2 linked regions of the Oryzias latipes genome follow. The protein of the gene in region 2 purifies or fractionates together with the protein of the main gene of each other region. This does not show direct contact. Links are inferred from orthologs where the notes say so. Each region holds a gene or a part of one and is shown on either strand. Other genes may lie near its edges.

The links.
Region 1: the proteins of u2af2 (region 2) and cpsf6 fractionate together in Homo sapiens (co-fractionation; 3 studies listed by BioGRID, with this or other methods). This does not show direct contact. The link is inferred for Oryzias latipes from reciprocal best matches to the Homo sapiens genes U2AF2 and CPSF6.

What each region holds. Positions count from the first base shown.
Region 1 is NC_019881.2:14,389,292-14,399,762, forward strand, and holds the start of cpsf6 (cleavage and polyadenylation specificity factor subunit 6), read right to left. Parts: upstream 5,621-10,471; 5' UTR 5,570-5,620; coding exon 5,510-5,569; intron 2,751-5,509; coding exon 2,541-2,750; intron 2,426-2,540; coding exon 2,322-2,425; intron 1,063-2,321; coding exon 917-1,062; intron 798-916; coding exon 618-797; intron 490-617; coding exon 1-489. UniProt on the Homo sapiens protein: Component of the cleavage factor Im (CFIm) complex that functions as an activator of the pre-mRNA 3'-end cleavage and polyadenylation processing required for the maturation of pre-mRNA into functional mRNAs.
Region 2 is NC_019874.2:19,810,631-19,820,827, forward strand, and holds the start of u2af2 (splicing factor U2AF 65 kDa subunit), read right to left. Parts: upstream 5,536-10,197; 5' UTR 4,961-5,535; coding exon 4,912-4,960; intron 4,122-4,911; coding exon 3,953-4,121; intron 3,557-3,952; coding exon 3,521-3,556; intron 3,301-3,520; coding exon 3,197-3,300; intron 2,451-3,196; coding exon 2,299-2,450; intron 2,208-2,298; coding exon 2,091-2,207; intron 1,998-2,090; coding exon 1,841-1,997; intron 1,734-1,840; coding exon 1,645-1,733; intron 1,499-1,644; coding exon 1,376-1,498; intron 1,303-1,375; coding exon 1,216-1,302; intron 1,044-1,215; coding exon 795-1,043; intron 711-794; coding exon 576-710; 3' UTR 1-575. Other genes in the region: ccdc106 (coiled-coil domain-containing protein 106), read right to left, coding at 8,650-8,966, 9,067-9,234, 9,301-9,585, 9,757-9,813, 9,904-10,125. UniProt on the Homo sapiens protein: Plays a role in pre-mRNA splicing and 3'-end processing. By recruiting PRPF19 and the PRP19C/Prp19 complex/NTC/Nineteen complex to the RNA polymerase II C-terminal domain (CTD), and thereby pre-mRNA, may couple transcription to splicing.

The DNA of each region.
Region 1 (10,471 bases), on a different chromosome or scaffold from region 2:
TCTCGTATGGTGGTGGGCGTCCATAAGGGTCGTTTGGCCCGGGTGGCCCTCGGCTGTCGTTAGGGGGCAAGCTGTTGTTGCCAGGTGGGGGGAAGAAAGCAGGGTTCACATGAGGCGCAGGTGGAGGAGCACCTGGTGGGGGGCCCGGCAAATGTGGAGGTGGGGCCAAAGCCAATGGTGGTCCAATAGGGCCCGGAGGGCGAGGAGGAAAGGGTCCCGGAGGAGGTGGGCCTTGCTGAGGAGGTGGGGGGCCAGGAGGAGGACCATACCCTGGAGGAGGAGGGCCTGGGGGAAGAGGTCCCAGTGGAGGCTGACCAAACTGGCCAGGGAAGAGAACAGGAGGAGGAGGAGGTCTGTCTCCACGATTAGGAGGACCTGCGAGGGGTGGGGGTAGACCCTGGCCAGGAGGGGGTGGTCCTACGGGACCAGGGGGGCCAGGAGGACCAGGGGGAGGACGTGGAAGACCCTGCATTCCACCTATGAAAACAACAGTAGAGAGCAAAGCAAAAAAGACAAAAGTAAAGATCATTCCCATTTATATGCAGACACATAAAACTCCTATAATAGTTCCCTCTTCAGTTCAAACCAGCACAGATTTCTCACTAATAGAAACTAACCAGGAAAGTGGGGTGGTGGGCCTCCAGGGCCTATGGGGCCAGGAGGGAAACGATCTACTCCAGAACCAGGTGGACCAGGATACCTGCCTCGACCTCTGTTGCCCATTGAGAATCCGGAGCGATGGCCTGAACCAGGGGGACCAGCTTTACCTTCCCCTGACATCTGACCAGATTGAGTACCTAAATAAATAAATAAAAGGTTTCAAATGGCTCAAAATTCATCAAGTTGCAATATATTTTCATTTGTAGCAAATTAAATAGATTTGTGAAAATCGTAAGATGAAACTGGAAATACTTACTTTTGCGTGACTGCATCTCAAACTGGCTTAGGGATTGTTTATTGCACGGTGTGACTATAGGATTCTGACCATGAAGCTCTCTCTTGGACAACAGGTCCATCAGTTTCCTGGATGATCCCTCAGAACCAACACACACAAGAGCAAACCTGAAGGAAACCAGCACAAGACACCCTGTCATAAGTATGCAAAGCAAAAACATCCTAGTTATAAAATGTTGAACTCATGAGGCCACCAGGTTTTGTAGTTGTTCCACATTTGAATCATCATCCTCACAGTGAAGTTTTTTCACACAAACAACATCCACGCAGGCATCCTCTGATCCATACGTCATTGCAAATGCAAGGTTGAATACACTAAGCGCAGACGCTTTGTGCCATCAGAAAGACGCTACCAGCCCCGCTGTGTGCCAGGTCCCAGGCGGAGGACATTCTGCGCCTGCAGGACCGTTTATTGAGGCTGGGCAGGCATGCATGCGTCCTCCATTGAAAGCGAGACAGAAACGCCAACTCAGGCAGCAGTGTGTACAAGCACGCACTTCAATAGCCCTGCCCACAGAGCAGGGGCCGCCCTTCGCTCAGCCGTCAGTAAGCCTGCTGCGCTTTGGAAATGTCCTGCTATTACACAGTGTCAGCATAGCATGAAACGCGATCGTCGCTGCTATCTGTTTACATAATAAACCGCCTTATCTGTTCAAATTGTGTATTACTATAAAAATAATATTAATACACACAACAGAGCTATCTCCTCACAAAGATTTGTGTACTCTTACGGTGTAGCTTTTGAATAGACAGAAAATACTTTATTTACATTCATCCATCCATCCATCTAGGTAGATCTTTTGGAGCTTGTCTCAAAAGTAACTCGCATGCCAAAAAAGTGTGGGCACCCCTGGTGTAAGCTCAAACCGGAAATCATCAAACTATATAATGGTACGGTGGACAGTAAGCATCACCTTAAGGGTTTTGTGGTGGCACAACTTTAATTACTTCTGTTCAAATTGTCTTGAGTCTCGTCACAACTCTGAAAATGAATAAACTCTGCGCGGTTTAAACAAAATGCATACAATAAATTGCACATGACATGGATTCCTATACATATGAATGTATAATAAAATAAAAAATACTCTGACGTCAACACATAAATAACACACGCTCTCTTTGACATACCGTAACTCTTTGGCCATTTACGTGATCAAACCGAATCGGCTGATTCTGATCTGGAGAAAAGCAGGTTTTCATAGAGGATTTGCACCGATATGCAACACATCATTAATGTAAAGTGTTGCACATCAGCGTAAGGCTGCTTTTTCCACAGTTGAAGAGTCACGGTAATCCAAAGAACGTTAACATTGAAGCTAAAGCCTCGGTGTAAAGAGTTAAACACAAACAAAAACTACTGTCCTCACCCTTTTGACTGGCCATTAGCCCTGTTTTCAAAGAACTTTATCTCCAGCACATCTGTAATGCCTACTGAACGAATGGCTTCAGTCAGGTCTTCATCTGTTGTCCACTGTAAAAAAAGAACAATAATAAAAAGAGACAAATTATCAATACTACTTTCTTAGCATTTAGTCGAAATTGACAATGAAACTTCTAATTATTTAATTTGAATGGTTGAAACCCACCCATGTAAGGTTGCCGATGTACAAAGCAATCCGTTTGCCTGTATAGGTGTACACCACATTGGGTGGATTACTCTTCCCTCCGTCAGAACCGCCAGATGGAGGCATTGAATCCATGTAGTCCCTGTCTTCTGGAGCATCTCCATTATTGGCAGATGGGGATATCACATCATCGTACAAGTCAATCTGCTCGTGAACTGGATACTCCGATTCCTTTAAAAGAAAAATGAGTTAACACAGTTAAAGCAAAACATGTGGGGTTCAATTCCACAAGAACCTGAAACTGTGGCTCAACGTTTATAAAAACTGGGGATGTAGAAATGCATCTTTTAAGTGAAAGATATTATGGATGGATATTATTTTTAGTAATGTACAGGGGTGTAACGATTAATCAACGAATCGATTTATTTTCTTACGATTGAAACAGATGTATCTGTCTAATCTAAGGTAAGTTGCTTATCGAATTGGCAGTTTGCCACAACTGGGACGCAGAGGGAAAGACAGTGGCTGTGACAACATTAACCACTTGGATCTGTCGCCTCTTTGCATCTTTCGGGATTAAAAACAGTGACAATCTCTTCTCACAATGAGCTTTTGTCACCCCTATGGGGCCAAAAGGAAATGGTCCATTCAAGCAGCGCTGTTACTGTGACCCCAACCACTTTTATAGTTTCACATAGGGCTGCACGATATGAGGAAAACTCGCGATATGCGATATTGGTGATTAATATTGCGATAACGATATGATTCGCGGTATATAAACAAACAGCAAAACAACCAAAAACATAATTTCCATTTCACTGCAACAGTTTAAAAATTATACTCCAAATGACCCTTGTCGACATAGGAGGCAAACATCAAACATAAAAGGGCTCATCTGATTGATCAACAACGTAAATGGGTCCTTCCGATTGGTTAAATGCATAAAGGGATTTATTTCATTTGTTCAATATTTCAAGCTGCCACGAGATTGTTTTAGCACATTTAAGGTAACCATTTATTGCGATTTTCGCCGTCTTTTGTGGTATGCATATTGCACAGCTTAATGTCGCGATAACGATAAATTTGCGATATATTGTGCAGGCCTAGTTTCACACAATGTACGTTACTTTCTGCCTTTATGAACGGGTGATTTAAATGATTGTGCACTGCAGGCAAAAAAAACAAGTTTGCCACGGTGACGTAATGACCCTGTGTTTTGAAGCTGTTGGCGGTGAGATGACAGGTGGGGCAATACGATGAGCGCATGCATAAGCGGGAAACGCGCTAAAGGTTAATGAATGCACAGCCGGTTTTTTAATTATATTTAGGATGTCACAGCGACTGCCATTTATGAAGTTATAAGCTCAGTTTGTTGATAATACCAAATAAGGTCAGATTATACCCTGACTTTTTTATGTTCTGACAAATGTAAATGTGAAATGAGAAAAAGTTTTAAAATGAATAGTACAGCTGATCGCCACTCCATTTACTGGGGGTGAAAAAAAATGAAGAATGTCCAATTGTGGAAAATTTATATTACTATAATTAGCATTCTAAGGTCAAAGTAAAACATTTACTTTTACATGCAATAAAAACACCATGATAGATTTAATTTACATGACGTATACAGTATGATGTACCACAAATGCTGTACTTTTTGTTTCAAACTAACATAGTTTTAAGTTATTTAAGTTCACTTTTTAAGTTTGGCCTATTTTCCTTGTGCAATATTGTTATGAAAGAACGTCTTTGAGGTAATGCCAAAATGCCTGCTGTTGGGAATTAAATACATTTCTAGACATATTGAACTTTTTTACATTCTAAATTTCAAAATGGCACTTTATGTCACAAATGCTGTTGACCCCTAATCTATAGAAGTTTACTGCATATCACCAGACGCTTACTTAGCTCCCTGTTTTACTGGAAATTGCTGCAGCTATAATAAAACATGGAGACCAAATAGTGCTAGAGAGTTAGTCAACAAGAAGAAGCTGAAATAAAAGAAATTACACCAGAATTTAAAAGTAAAAATGGTTACTAGAAAAAGCAAATTACTATAATAAATTGATTTAAATTAATTAAATTCCAAAAGCATTTTTTTCTCTTTATTTTATGTCACGCTTTATGAGGAAAAAAAGAGTAGTAAACTTAAAGAAATGTTAAAAAAAACTAAAACATGACTAATAATTTTTAAGTCACTGGCTCTTAATTAAGTTTAGCTAAACAATTTTAATAAGAAACAAGGAAAAAAAACATTTATTTTTAAATGTTTAGCTCCGACAGTATAATACCATAACAAATTCTGTGCAAAACAAATGTCAGTAAGTTATGATTTTAGTATGCGGTCTAAAAAGGGGGGCGCGGTTTTTAATGTGCGCGCGCGCAAGAATAAAAAAAAACACCCACCATGCATGATGACCCAACCTGCTGCCAGAATGGAAGCCGTGTAACTCGTGTTTTCCCCTTTTGTTTTTATTTTTGACGTTTTTAAAAGTACACCAAGTTACATTTGATCCAAACTATAACCCACGTCCAATACAGTAAACCAATTAAACGTGTGAAGTTAACCAACACCAGCTAGCTTATCATGAAATGCGTGTTTGGTTAACAGCCTCCGTCGGGAGAAAAAAAAAAAAAGAAAGCACACACTGCGCGGCCTATACGCGCGCTCCACTGAAAAGGCTGCTAGACGCTTTGCTGATGGACAAAAATGTACATATTCTAAATAATAACCCACATCACATTTACCTCCACATGTGTACTACTGTTTGAATAAAAAATGCAGATCTATTGTACAGAAGTTTGCTATCTATGCTGCAACCAACGCAGCACACTGACTGACAGAGGCCTGTGTGTGTATTGCTAGTGGAGAAGCTAGCACGAGCATCAAATTACACCTATTTTTCCTATAACGCCGAAAAGACCATTGCAAAAATTAGAAAAAGAACTTCAAAGCACTGAACAAACTCGAGAATATTTTATTTTAATACCTGATTAAATTCCTCTTCTACGTCGGCGTAGATGTCGATATGATCCACACCGTCCGCCATTTTCCTCTGCTTCGTGCCTCCGTCCGCCTGGCGGTGCAGAGGATCGGAGCTACAAACAATAACTCCGGGAGATGCATCAGCGCCCCTGCTGGTCGTATTCACTAACTACAGCCTGCTCTGCTGGGAATGACGGATTCATTGATCATCTGCATTTCACTTTAAACATTCATACTACTGAATACGACATCTATAAAAAATATAAATTATTCTGTTATGTATTTTGTAATTACGCATTTAAAAGAGGAATTCAATATCTATTTATTTATTAATAAATGATTTTCACAACAATGGAAATGCAATTTCTAAAAGAACTCAAATAGATAGAATAGATCACGCTTTTTTCTACGTACAGCTGTGCACCTGCCATTACTGTTTTGTTGATTGAAAATTTCAGCAAATTTGACACAAATCGCTGGAAGAAATGGTCTTTTAATAAAAATTGTAACAATTCTTGACAACAAAGTTAAAAGTGAAAATAAAAAGCAAAGTTATGTGTAAAGAGAAGAGTGAAACATGATCTCCAACTATATAGTTTCCTGTGTATTAGGTATTGCTGTAATTATACTATAATATTTTTTTCAAATTAAAAATATAAATATTTTAAGACGCCCAAGTGGCTGGGATAGGCTCCAGCAGCCCCGTGACCCCGAAAGGGAATAAACGGTTAAGAAAATGAATTAATGAATGAATGAATATTTTAAGTACATTGACAAGACACAAAACATTCTATTTTGGTGTATTATTTGTAGACTCACATTTTACACTATATTAGACATTTTATCAATAATGTCATATAAATAAATTTAAATCTGGCTTTTGATCAACATTTGAATACTTACTCTGATGTAAAGGATACAATAATAACTATAACACATAGGATTTTACCTTAAAAAGTAATTTTGTAAAACTTTATTGGAAAATAAAGTTTTATTTTTTGAAATCATCTGTCATTCACAATCCAATTTGTTGAAACAACCACTGCTATCATACTATATCTTTATAAATTTACTGCTCATTTATATGAAACTATAAGTTTATAAATAATAGGTGAATAAAAGGAGACAAACAGAAATGACACACAGTCAAAGTAAATGTAATAAAAACAACTTTGTGGATCTTTTATTTTATAAATAATGGCTTTAATCCATGTAATACTTTCATAAGAACAATTTACAGGTTTGTTTTACAAAGGAAAAAAACAGAACAAAAGAACAAAATCACATTCCAAGTTTTAGCTCCTCCTAAAAAAAATCATAAACATTTCATATATATTAGATTTTACCTCTGTCAATAACACAACCAAAGACAACAACAACAAAAATAATAATTTCAGTCAGACCATTTTAAATGTTTTAGTTAAAAAGAATATAAAAAAGGTAACAAATATATTAGAAGTAAATCTTTTTAACATGCAAAAATGGAAGAAAAAAAGAAGTTTGAAAAAAAGAAGCGTTCAGTTAAATCAATATAAAAATACATTGTAATTTATTGGTAAATAAATCAACATTAACAAATGTTATTATCATTAGATAGATACCATTGTGATTCTTTTTTCTTTTAAAGTTGTTTACTTATTTTTTTCAGCAGAGCATTACAGATACTTAAAAAAAAACCTGAGGCAAAATGTTATGCAAAAGAAAAACTTTTTTTTGCTTTAACTTCAAGAACAATTTAATTACATGGTGAAAGTGCACAAGACAAAAAAAGGCAGAAAAACGTTTTAAAATTGTGGCAGGTAAAATGTAATTAGTCTTAAAACATGTAAAAATTAGGGATAAAAGTATGACCCTTCCAACTTTTAACTTAAATATTTCTGATACCACTCATATAAGACATTTCTGACTGGGCCTTCATCTAGTCTGCTTTGGTTGATTCATCAAACCCCTTTAAAAAATGCCCTGTGATACAATTTACCAACTCAAGTTTCTCTTCACGCTAACTATTTTTTCAAATGCAACATATAACAAAAACAGATGCAGTAATGTGGATCTTGAAGGCTGAAGTGCATATTTGCAAATGCGCTCTAGGCCTTGCCTGTGATCTTCAGATCAGAGGAAGATGGAGACGGACAACTGGAGATGTGTTGCACTCTTGCTCTAATTACTTATGCTGCAACTTGTGACTCACCATTCCTTTTAAAAACAGATGCTGTAACCTTCATCTTTTCAGTCCATTTTCAATCTGTGACTCAAAGGCGTGCAGGAGTGAGTTTGCTGGAAAGTGTCCATGGCAACAGCAATCCATTAACTTGCTTTACTCGGTTGTCATTCTTAAACTTACAAAATATAATGCTTCAGAAGTCCAAGACTTTTTTCCTTTTTTTTAATGAGAGCAAGAAGACTTAAAAACGTTGTAAGAAAGTTGTCCATCATCAGGAAATTGATCCAGCAATGGAAAGACATAGCAGGAGGAGGACATATGACAGTGAAATGACAGATGCCCCTCCACAGTCGTCTGCATTCTCCTGCAGGACCCAAGCAGAGACACAATTTGATTAGAACTTATTGCAGGTTATTACTCAAATCAACAAGTTGCTATTTAATACTTTACAAATAACATATAGACAAAAATAAAAAGATAAGCACGAGGATATAACGAGTGGAAAGCTTACCTGCGGATGATAAGAATGACAGGACTCAGGGCGTCTGCGAATCTTCTGAGACCTCATTCTGTCACACTTCACTGATGCATTATGTTGAACAGGGTCAAGGGGAACAAAAAACCAATAGCGTCTAGAATTGGGCATTATATAATACACATTTTTGGGTCATAGTAAAAACGTAGAGGATGTAAGAAAAATCCATATTCTTCCTGAGATCAATTGATTTTTAAAAATGTATTTAGATTTTTCATAATGTATATTAGATACCCAAATCAAAGGATATATTTGACTTCTTTGGGCTCCAGGGTTATGGGCGGGTACTGCCTGGAGCAGTCACAGTCTGCTTGCACAACCAACATCAACAGGTTGCTCTCTGGGATCTGTTGCACTACAAACATTCTGACACAAACAGAATAAGTGCTCTTAAACAGCATAGAATAAATAAACTTTATTGTGCGTGTCTTTAGACTTAAGGGTCAATGATGACTGAAATACCATATTTTTCCACAAGAGGGCGGTCATACTCAACACAATATTTATGACCAGTATGCTTTTCCTATCCACTTCCATTTGAATCCAGTTATTTTCTCTTTTTTTCTGCTCCTTAAAATTTACCTACTACTCTGTCTCCCATTCTCCCAATTTCTCAATAACCCAACACTTACCTTTCTCTTGATAAAACATTCAAACAAACAAACACTGCTCAAATAAAGCAGAGGCACTGAAAATGTGTTTTAAAAATATAATTTAATGCGGCTTGCAGAGGGCCATTTAACTTTTTTGATGTTCATAAAGTGTACACAAGTGTGTGCTTACTTCTGGCATCGTCCACACTTGATAATGCTGTTGGTCTCTTTGACTGACGGCTCATAAATGAAGCTGGGGTACTCAGTGTCACATGGCTGCAGGATGTCCACTTTTTTCTTATGAACATAGGCTAATGGAGAAACAGACAGGGTCACATCTTTGGGTTGGAATATTGAAGAAAGTCAAAATGTTGGTGAAGCTATTTGTTTGTGGCTGACAGGAGAATGAGAGCTGGTGTCTAAAAGCTAACACTCAAGCTATTAATTGGTACTTAGCTTGCAGCATGTTCCAAACAAGAGTGAATGTGGTGTGTGTTTACAGGTGAAATAATGGGGCTGGAATTTGGCAGGAAAGATATAATGGCTCATTAAAATGTAAGATGTCTGGCTGTGATTTATGGTGTTTTGTTTAACAGCTTAATTGTCATTTAACCACCCATTTTCTTCACTTTTTCAAGGTCAAGGTGGGGCTGGAGCCTTTTCCAAATGTCATTAGTGAAGAGGCAGGGTGGAGTTATCCATCACAAATGAACAAAATCAGCTGTATACATCATTTTAGGATAATCAGTCAGCCTAACATGGATGTTTCTGAAATGTGGTAGAAGAAGAGGCATTGAGAAAATGCATAAACCCCGGAAATCTAGAATTCAGACGCTTCAAGAAAAGTCATTTCTGAAGCTTTTGGCAGCTGCATCTGCTTCCTCTAAAAGCCTTATGTAATCGGATGTGCAAAGCTTCAATGTGTTTGAAGGCTTCAACAACTCAATCAACAAATGAAAAAGGGAATTTTTACAAAAACACTGCTCTTCCTTGAAGACCGACTCCAGAGAAAATCCTGTTTTTTTTTGGTGGTATTAACATGTTCTCGGGGCATTTTTCTAATGATGAAGGACATGTATAAAGAAAATGAAGCTTAAAAATTTCATAGCTGAGTATTTATTTTTTCAAATCGTTTTGAATCCGAAGCAGATGAAAAAATAAAGTAAGAAAAAGGCCACAAGCTGCCTGTTTGTGGGAAGGGGGGGCAGGGTTGCTCTGCATCAATGGTCCCGCCCACAACTCTATTTCTAATGAAATCCTCCCGCTCTGAAGAAACTATGTCCTACATAGAAAATTACCATCTTTTCTTTTCTTTTTTGGCTAAAAACATCATAATCATAACTAAAAGACCACTGGGAATGCTTTTAAAATAGATCAAATGAGTGGAGAGGGACTTTAAAAAACACATCGAAGACAGATACTCACACACACTGAAAGATGACTTGGCTGATTGGAAGATGGATGATGATGAGGAGAAAATGCGATGGATGAACAACGGGTGTGCCGATGAATGAGGTGAGGATTTGTTAATGGAACCAAAGAAGTGGATGAGAGGTAAGGAGACAGCAGTGACTTAATGCGTCATGGTCAGCAACACAAACATGTTAGAAGTTGGTCTCTAGTGAGGACATGGGATTAACCTTTCAATACATTCTTCAAAAATGTTTTGTGGTT
Region 2 (10,197 bases):
GGCGGTCGAATGAAAATCCTCTTCCTCTTCATCTCCCCTACATCTTCCTTTCAGAAACACACACTTCTGTTTTTTAGGTTTTGTTCCACATCCTTCTTGGCCTGAATCATCCAGTACTTTTTCTACAGCAGCTCCCTAACGTTCTTAAAACAGGCTACCTCCATTTAAATACAAACCCTAAAGAGTTGCCCCCCACCCCCCACCCTCAATGACATCCTTGTCTCAAAGTATAAAAAAGAAAAAAAATCAGCTCCCTCCTGGCCAAAGTAATACACACGTTTCTGAGAAATCTTCCCTCCCCACCCGGTTACATGACTACCATCCGGATCTATGCATTTCATTTAAACTGGAACCTCCTCCTCCAGATCAAACATTTTACTGCTGGACACATCCCATAGATCTCAAATAATAATCCGGATATTACCAAAGCCGTTTTTCAAAGGGATGAATAATCCAAGATCTACAAGAAATGTTGTTCCAACAAATCAATTTCAGGGCTGCTTTCGAAACGGGTAATACACATGACGTCCCCTTACCTCCCTCCCCACCCCCTGCTCCTCTTCTCAATGCCTTCTCTACCAGAAGTCCCGGCGGTGATAAGCATCTGGATCGCAGTATTTGGTCACCACCACCCTATTGGCAAACTTCCTCCCTGTGAGCCCCTGCATGGCCTTTTGGGCGTCGAAAACCGACGTGAATTCCACAAAGATCTGTCAAAACAATAGAAACAAAAGAAATGTGAAGATGGGGGCACACGACTGTTTCAAAGATGTTTCTTTTGAGCGACTGCTTACCTTGCCGGTTCCAGGAACTTCCAGGCCGTCCACAGGACGGGGGATCTCAATGCTCTTCACCTGGCCATACTTGCCACACTCCTCCCTCACGTCTTCCACGATCTCCTCATACTCCTCATCGTCCAGGAGCTCTTCAGGGGCCACCATGTTCATCAGACATAGCACCTCAGTGGGGAGGCCCCCCATCTGAGTCACGGAGCTGTTCAGACCTGGTACCTGCAGCGTCACTGGGGTCTGGTTTATACTTGTCTGAAATACGAAGCAAAGGTTTACGTGAAATGTTGGATTTAATTTAAAACAAAGAAAACGCTGAAATATATTTGATGTTCATTCAGGTAACACGTTAAAAAAATATTAAAATAAGCAGTAAAAAACTGTTAAAGTTAAAAAAATCTGCTCGGCAGAGCAGCTGGATCCTCACCAGAGTAGCGTTCTTGGATCCCACACTGGCTCTCTGCACCAGCAGCTTCTTGTCTCCAAGCTGCATGCCATTCAGGCCAGCAATAGCCTACAACAACATCAGAGCTTAAGCGGGCAATTCAGAGCAAGCGAGGGGACAATTTTCTGTGGAGACTTTCTACCTGGTCATTCAAGTTGACGTCAACGTATTCGCAAAAAGCGTATCCTTTGGAGAGGCCTGTGGCGCTGTCTTTTACCAGATTGAAGGCCTTCAGAGGCCCGAATGATGTCAACAGCTCCTTCACCTAAAACACAATACACCAACATTTTAGACAAACTATTTACTTTTACATTACAGCTAAGAAAAGCAACAATCCTTCTATTAATACCATTATTTTTTTAAAAAAAACTAGTGTAAGAACTGTTTCTTCCAAAAATGAGACACACCGACCTGGTCATCATTCAGGTAGTTGGGCAAACCCCCAATGAAGAGCTTATGAGCCGAGTCTGGTACCACAGTCGACACCACACCTAGACGATCCATAATAGCAAAAACAAGGGCAATCAAAATTCACAAAAAGTAAACTCTCAAGGAGTAACTTTGTGATAATTTTGAAATTTTGCCACAAAAATTTAGAGTTAAAAACCATTAATTGTCTGTGTACCAGGCACATAGACACTGGGGTTCTCGCTCATGCCAGGCAAGGGCTGGTAATCGTGTGGACGACGGATTTTCAGACTCTGGCCTTGAAAGATGATGCCATCAAAGGCCATTGCCTGTGTAGTTTCATCAACTGAACGAAACTGCAAAGAAACCAACGTCAATGAGATACGCAAGCGTGCAATTAAAAGAGTGTGTAGAGGCATAGTTGAAAGTATCAAGGGCTCATTTCTAACCTCAAGAAAGGCAAAATTCTTATCCTGGTTGATCTGTACTGCAAGAACAGGGTTGCCAGGGGCTTGGGTGAGACCACCCAAGCGCATTTGAGCATTGAAGAAATCCATCATGGACTCCTAAACAGAGAGAGATAAGATTTAAACACTCATTTTTGGTTTGAATGTGAATTTAGTTTGGAAACATTCCGCTATTTTTTCCATGGCTTACCTCTGTGATACCAAAGGGGATGTTACCCACATAAAGCCGGCGGGCCTGCCGGGTCATCTGGCTCCCCACTACAGGCACAGGAGTGGGAGTAACAGCCAGTCCATCTGGAGTCATGGTTGGCAGGAGAGCTGTGGCTGGAATCTGGCCTGCGGCTGCACAGAGATGACACACTTTAAGGCCCGTACACACCGGGACGAATATTCGCCAGGCGTTATTCGCCAGCGTTTTTCGCCACGTTTTTTGTGTTCACACCCAGGCGATTTTCGCTGACGATGAGTGGAGTGAACATGCAATTTCATTCCCTGACATTAGATGGCGCTTAATGTAAAACAGAAATACTCCTGTACACAAGGTGGCGCTGCGCAACTTTACGCTTCTTAAAGTCGCTTTTCACTCAGAAGAAGAGAGCAAGTATTTACACGCTTGTCAGAATCAAACAAAGAAAACATGAATATTTCAAGCACCAGTAGCTCCAACTGGTGCTTGGTTCGGGGATATTTTAGAATGTCCGTCATTATTGCTTCGCGGCTGTGTAGACGCTACTTGGCGTCTATCTTCTTCGCTGGTATGTGTGCTCAGCAAGGCAGTTTTGTGTTTGAGCGCCCCCAAGTTGTGTTTTACTGTAACTTCAGAAGCTCCAGACACGTGAGCAAAAGTGCCATTCTCATTGGTCGAGTAGATTTCGACGCGACGCGTCGCGTCGAAAAAAAAACGAACCCGAGGCGTTTTTTTTTTTACGCTTTAACGCGTGCACGTTTTTTCGTGCCCTTTGTTTAGTCACGAGGCGTTAAACGTCGGCGAAAATCGCCGGCGAAATTCGTCCCGGTGTGAACAGGCCTTTAGCATGTTATGTGTACACATTTGTGAATTAAATACACTGGAAACAGATAAGAGTTACCTTGCATGGCTTTGTACTGCATGGGAGTGATATGCTCAAAACCAGGAGGAGGAACATCCCAATACTTCTTGATCTTCTTCTTCTTTTCACGATGGGGAGATCGGCTGTAAGAGGGAAGAAAAAAAAATAAACATTAGGAGAAAATGAACTTTTTTTTAAAGAAGGTTGCATCGATTTCAACATAGTAAAAGTGACAAAAAAGACAGAAAAATGGACAATACCCAAAAACAAATTACTTGAACATGTGTAAATTGTCTTTAAAGTGATAGGAGTGTCAATGTACAGTTTCTGCAACTGCCAGCTTTGTGTTAAGTTTTCTGTTACCTTGCAGTATTTTCTTGAGGGTAGGCGGGTGGCGAGCTGAAATGACAAATTGGAGGAAGAGATTTAGATTTCTTATATGAATCAAACAAACTTTTTGAGTTATGATTCATAAATAAAATAAAAAACACTGCATTTCCAGTCACACTTGAATATCAATGCACTTCAAAACAAACAAGTGAGAATTCTCTTCTAATTTCAAAAGAAGTAGGGAAAAAAAAACGAATAAATCAAATGAAATCAAAAGCTCATCAGAACAAACATACATAACTGGTGCATTTGTGTGAACAATGTAATGATGCATGTAGACTGCAGACATTACAATAAAGTTAATAAAGAGACTTAACGTTGCCATGTTATTGCTGGACAGTTGATAAGAGATTTTACACATAACAGCTTGTTTTTAAACAGGAGGATTGGTGTAGATGTACTGACTTGCGCCGGTGTCTCCGCTCCTTACTGTCCCCACGGCGGTCCCTGCTGCGTCTTTCCCCGCCATCCCTGCTCCTCTTCTTCCTCTCTCTGCTGCGGCTGCGGGATGAAGAACGACGATGGTGCCGGTTTTCTTTGTCCCTTTCTGTGGCAAAAGAGCGGTGCTCAGTAACTATGAAGTATAAAAGTATAAAGTGTTTTTCATTAAAACAAAAATCTTCTTAAAAAACATAACCCCAGAAATATTGTTCATAAAAGCAAATTAAAGCGAGCTGAATTTAGACATGTTCTCGATGTTTAATTTTAATTTTCATAAATGGTCTTACAGGTATGAACACAAAGTGAAAAGATAAATCAAGTAGTAATCAAGTAGAAGGAAAATGTGCATAAATGAGGTTATTTCTCTTAAAAGTACATTTTTATGTTAATCATGCTACAAGACGATGCATCTGCAGATAGGTGGGAAAAAAAGGAAGATAAAAGAGGAGAGTACAGGAAACCAGCTATATTAAAGAAGCAAGAATTTGTATCAGTAGCATAAACACAATATGAAACTGAAAGGACTATTGCAAAAACTGCAGTAGAGAATGTATAAAGATAAACAGTTGAACTTGTAAAAAGGAACTATCGAGCACGAGCGGCTGAATGATAATTCAATGACAGAAAGCACCGCTTAAATATTATTACACGCCACATGAATCGGACATGCCATAATAATACCACGATGGAGTTCAAGATAATACAAAATTGAAAACATTTTAATGTTAATAGCATTATACAACAGTACCGAAAGCCAGATTACAGGAAAACATCGATAAACTTGTAAAGCTGCGTTGTACATTTAGAGGCTATTTGATCATAGGCCAGTTAAACAGACACGTCCGCGACGTGCTAACCATAGAGATAAAAATGACATGTACCTCTTTTGCAATCATTGTTAATTGTGTAACTAGTCCATTTACCTTGATGGTTCTCAGACAGTTGTCTTTCAAATTCGTCGAAATCCGACATCTCTGGATAGAAACCTACTACGCTTTCGAAGACTGCGTTGTTCGGTTGGCGGAGGCTAGCTTAAGCTAGCAAGAAAGTGAGCACTTTGAGATTCAAGCGCTTCAATGATAGCGCTTCGGAAAGTTAACCTCGGTTAGCAAAAACACGGCTCAAAAACAAACCTATCAAACGATAGGTGGTATCACACACATTAGTGACGTGGTATTTGCTCAAATGTAACACATACAAATACGGAAAAAGGAAAAACGTGCTCGCTTAAGTTAGCCCGCTAACGCCAGCTAACTAGCTTGTAGCAAAGTCCAGAAGAAAGGCCTGCTGCTCCACACCGCCGAGGAGGCTCAGCTGCTAGCTAGGCTACGAAATCCGAATAAATGAGACTATTTTCGAAGCCCAAAGCGAATCCAGCTTAGTCACAGGCCCACAATATGTGTTTATGTGACGCAATAATCCAAATCTTTACGCCTTCTGCTGTTTTAAGTCTACAAAAACAGCAAAGATTTTGTTGTGCCCGCTTTTTTGCTCCGACTCCCAGATACCCCGTGACATCGGAAGTTGATGAACGCTGCGTTTCCGGTAGAAGAACGTCGTGTGGTTCTGGCTTGTGTTTGGAGCTGCATGGAGACAATTCTGTGATTGAATTCTGATTAAAACAACAGAACACCTGCATGTGACTTTCTCTGTAATGGTTATTGGGAGAATATTTCTAAATGTATGAACTTAAAAACGACGTGTTTCAGTTAAAAATACATGTTAATATAGTTAAATATCCAAAACTTACTGTAGATTTTAAATGTTATGCTTAAAGCTTTTGTGTTTCAATCAACGGTCATTTACACAATTTAATTAAACAACTACAAACTGGATTTTAGTGATAGATCCTTAAGAAAGATCAACACAAAACTCAGCCCTAAGCACTGCGGATAGATTCAGAAGAATTGTCAGCATCCTGCTGTATACTTTGAATGATTTACGGTTCATCAAGCAATAGCCCATTTTTTACACACAGACAGGCAGGACAGATCATGTTTAGATGAGCTCTATCAGGCCCTGTTATGCAAAATATTAATTTCTTAGAGTTCGTCTTTCTAGTAGGGATGTAACGATTCATGGTGTTTATTCATATCATAATTCATGTTTGCTGATATGATTCATAGTTAATATTGGTTCATTTTGAATGATCTGAGTTGATCCGATTCACTGGCCTAAACTCGATCGAGGACATCTTTAGCCAAAAATTCAACCAGTGATACTTAGAGATAAACACCTGGAGACTGAACGGTGCAGGTGAAGTTTTCCAGATTCCTTCTATTTCTTGCAAGATAATCAAGTGTAAAAACAAACAAACAAGTAAACAAGAATTAATGGAAAATCCATTCACATTTTATTTTCATAAAGTTCATCCCACTAATGTTTTTCCACATCAAAATAATCCAAAGGGAACATTTTTAGAACATTCTGCCACGCTGTATGGTCACATGTCTTTGCATAATTCAAAGTGTTTCGTCACATTGAACTGTAATGATGGATTGATCATTTTTTGCTGCCATCCTGTGTGAGTGTTGTCTGCTGTGATGGCAGTTGGTCGTTTTGGCGTTATAGTAAATTAAACGTATTCACTCCTTTACCAACAACATTTCATAAATGTCAAATAATAAGCTGTCAGTGCTTTGCAATTCCTATTTTGTTGTCTTTTTACATACAGGTGACGATGTGTCTATTGCCAACTTCTCATCAAAAAATATCAGCAGTAGCTCCCTCCAAGGCAAACACCTAAACTTCATTATTGAAGGAAACGCAAGGAAAACAACTTTTCTGCCTTTTTTTTTTGTTGTGAACGGCGTGCTGCCGCCTGGTATCACTGTCTTATATGGGATGCAGAGTGACAGAAAATTCTGCACAAAGGACTGCAGTGTGCAGTTTGCACCCATATCTTCATCAGCAGACAGGACAGGGCTGTTTATTTTCTTGCATACCATTGTGTGTTTTGGGCTTTTTGTGACATTTACTTAGTTCTTGTCAGGTTCTGTTTTGACCTATTTTCTCCTGTCTGTAGCATCAGGTTCAGGCTGAAGATCCACAGCTGTCTTCAGTTGGCTTTTGAATGTTTAGTTTTTAGTTCTTTACTGTTGGGTCATCTGCTCTGCTCTGTCACATTTTAGAGTTTCCAATGGGTTTTTGTCACGATTTATTACATTTTCAAGTTTCTGCTATGGTTCATATTGGGTCATATACCACCATTTCCAGACGAAAATAACTTTGACTTTTGATCATACAATCACAAGCAGAAATGTGTAGAAGATTGTGGTGAGAGGAGACATGTCAGTTTAGAGACAGTGATTCTGCCAGGAGCCAGAGATGGAAGTAGCAAAGAGGAAATTGATGGGGTCAGGAATGAGTCCAGTAGATGAACAGCTAATGCTAGATGGTTTGGAGATAAATGCAAGGAAGCAGATTGAGATGGTTTGGACACATTCAATGATCATGTTGATAAAAGAATGCTAAGGTTAAAGCTACCAGAAGGGGTCCAGAGGAAGGCTTGTGGCTGTAGGAGGACAACCAAGTGGTTGATGTGAGTGAGGAAGATGCAGAGGACAGGGTTAGATGGTGAAGGACGATTCACTGAGGCCAAATTGACGAAGAAAAGCCAAAGTTTATTTTGTTTCCAGATATCTTAATACTGCTTATGTATATTCCATTCAATCTTCATAATACCATATGGTTTATTTTCTAATCACAAATTAAGGCAAGAACTGGATAGGCTGCAAAGCATGCATGTGTTGTGGAGCATCAGAAAGAAGAAATATGTTCTTTGTGAGTCAATTCCATCTGTTTTGCTGTTTTTCTAACTGTAAAGTTGTTTGTACGATGACAACAAATGTTCACAGCCAGCCAAAAGTCACACAAGTCTTACAAATACCTGAAACAGTAATAAATAGTGTCAATGCCGAGATTCACATTATACAAAATATGCAATTACCACAATGCAATGTATTTTAAGCATACAATGTGCCATCTATTGCAATCCAGTTTGTCAATGTACATAAATTACTGGGTATACCTAAAGTGGAACTAATGATCAATGTCGAAATTCTTTTACGTCCCAGCCAAAAAAATAAAAACAAAAGAAAAGTCTGTTGGTTGTCATATTACTTTAAAGAAAAATCCAGCCGTACAGTTTTGAGCCTGATGCCAGCTCAGACCAGGAAAACGGAGACTTACATGAATTTATTTGTCTCCAAGTGAGTGCATCAGAATAAAGTGCCCAGCATATTTTCTATGTAACAAATACATTCTTTTCAAACTGCATTTTTTTGTCTGCTCCTGATTCACAACAATCTAAATAAAGAAGTACTCAGAAATTCAATTTTAAGCTTCATTGTCTCAATATATGTCCTTCATCATTCAAAAAATTGCCACTAGAACATGTTATATTCAACAAAAACATAATTTTCCTCTGGGTGAGTCTTAAAGTTAAGACAAAATGGAGATGTAGAATGTCGTATGTTCAAGTCATTGCTTCTTTTTAACAGCAGGCATGTGTCAGTAGAGTGACGATGAACTTGATCAAACTTTTAGGTCATATTTTCCGTGTTTGGAAAGAACAGCATCACAGCAGCAGTTTATAATCACACGTGCACAGCAGCACACGTTTCTTACTGAGCTCTTCTTTACATCTGCCTTGCTTTTTTTCATTGTCTGAATCTGTAGGAAATGGGCAGAAGAAGGTTGTTCTTTTTTAAGGCTTGCACTCTGCTCAGTGTCTCTTCATCCAGAGCTATGTAGCAGCGCCTGGCATAGTCCAGCAGCTTCTCTTTGGATGGGTCAAACTCTCCAACCTCAGCCACTTTCTCTGGAGCAACTAGAAGCAGCTCAGCAATGGGGGTGGTAGAAGCCACTGTGTTGCGGTCAACTCCATGGATCTGGAAGGCTTTGGACATATTCTTGAGATGCTGGTACGTAAGGAGAATCTTCTTATAGCGAAACAGCACTCCAGCAACATCTTTCACTGAAGAAGAAAAATATATCTTTTAGCTTGCAACAGTTAAGACTTAAAACTGTAAACTCTTTGAGTCTTATTGCAGAATCTTTTTGATCCTTTCTTTTACCCCTCTGGCGTTCTCTTGGAACTCGGAAGATCTGTCGTATCTTCAGCTGATGCTGGCTGGGGTTTATTGTGTCTGACAAAACATCTTCCCCTGGTATTAATTCCTCTTCCTCCATGTAGCCGTCCGGTTCCAGGTATTCGTCTGACTCTCCAATAAACGAGAGGGAATCTGACAAGAGAAAATCCTTGTAAAACATCTAAAAAGACCAAGTTAATAGGTTTAATTTTGTATTACCTGGACCATTGTGTGCGTTTATGTCGTTCACAGACGATCGCGCAGCGCTGCCACTGGCTGTGGTACTGGCTGTGGTACTGGCTGTAGTACTGGCTGTAGTACTGGCTGTGGTACCGGAAGCACTGTGGCCTTGTAGAAGAGACTGCGATTGTGCAGAGTTGAATAACACATTCATGGAGGCCAGTTGAGTGCTTATTGGACTAGAAACATGGCTTTTGGAGGACAACATAGCAGCAGGACCTGACCTTCGAGGCATAAACTGACGTTGAGGGAAATGTGACGACTCTGTTTTTTGTTGTTCAATAGAGAAAAAAGGAAAAACTGTTATGTAGCGGAGAGTTTACAGGTTAAGATGTAACACATACACAAATATAGCAATCTATGTTACAGCTTTTTTTTTAAATAAATCAATATTGTGTAAGACTTTTTTCTTTTCTTTTTTTCTTTGTTTTTTACCACTGGGGCGATATCCCTCTCTTCTTAACTTCCAGTTAAATCGTCTAGATTCATAGCCTGTAGAGAGAGAACAAAAAATGGTAACATTAAATTTCCATGCAAGTTTCTTGTCAAAGCACTGATAGTCAGTCATGTCCCTCTCCTCACCATTACTATACTGGCTCCGGCACTGCTCTTGTCCCTGGCTCTTTGTAGAAAAGATGAAGCGGTCCAGCTGGCAACGCAGGAAGTCCCTCTCCTCCTCCAAATCTTCTATTCTTTTTTGCAGCCAAGAGTTTTTCTCCAGGGAGATCTGGAGTTGGGTTCGCAAGTTAGTTATCATCATGTATGAGTTGGTGGCTGGAGATGGACCAGGATTTGACGGTGACTCTAGGCACAAAAAGACAATACAATTAGGAAAGAGAAATCACGAGCGAAAAGTAATTTACAGTACTGATCTTT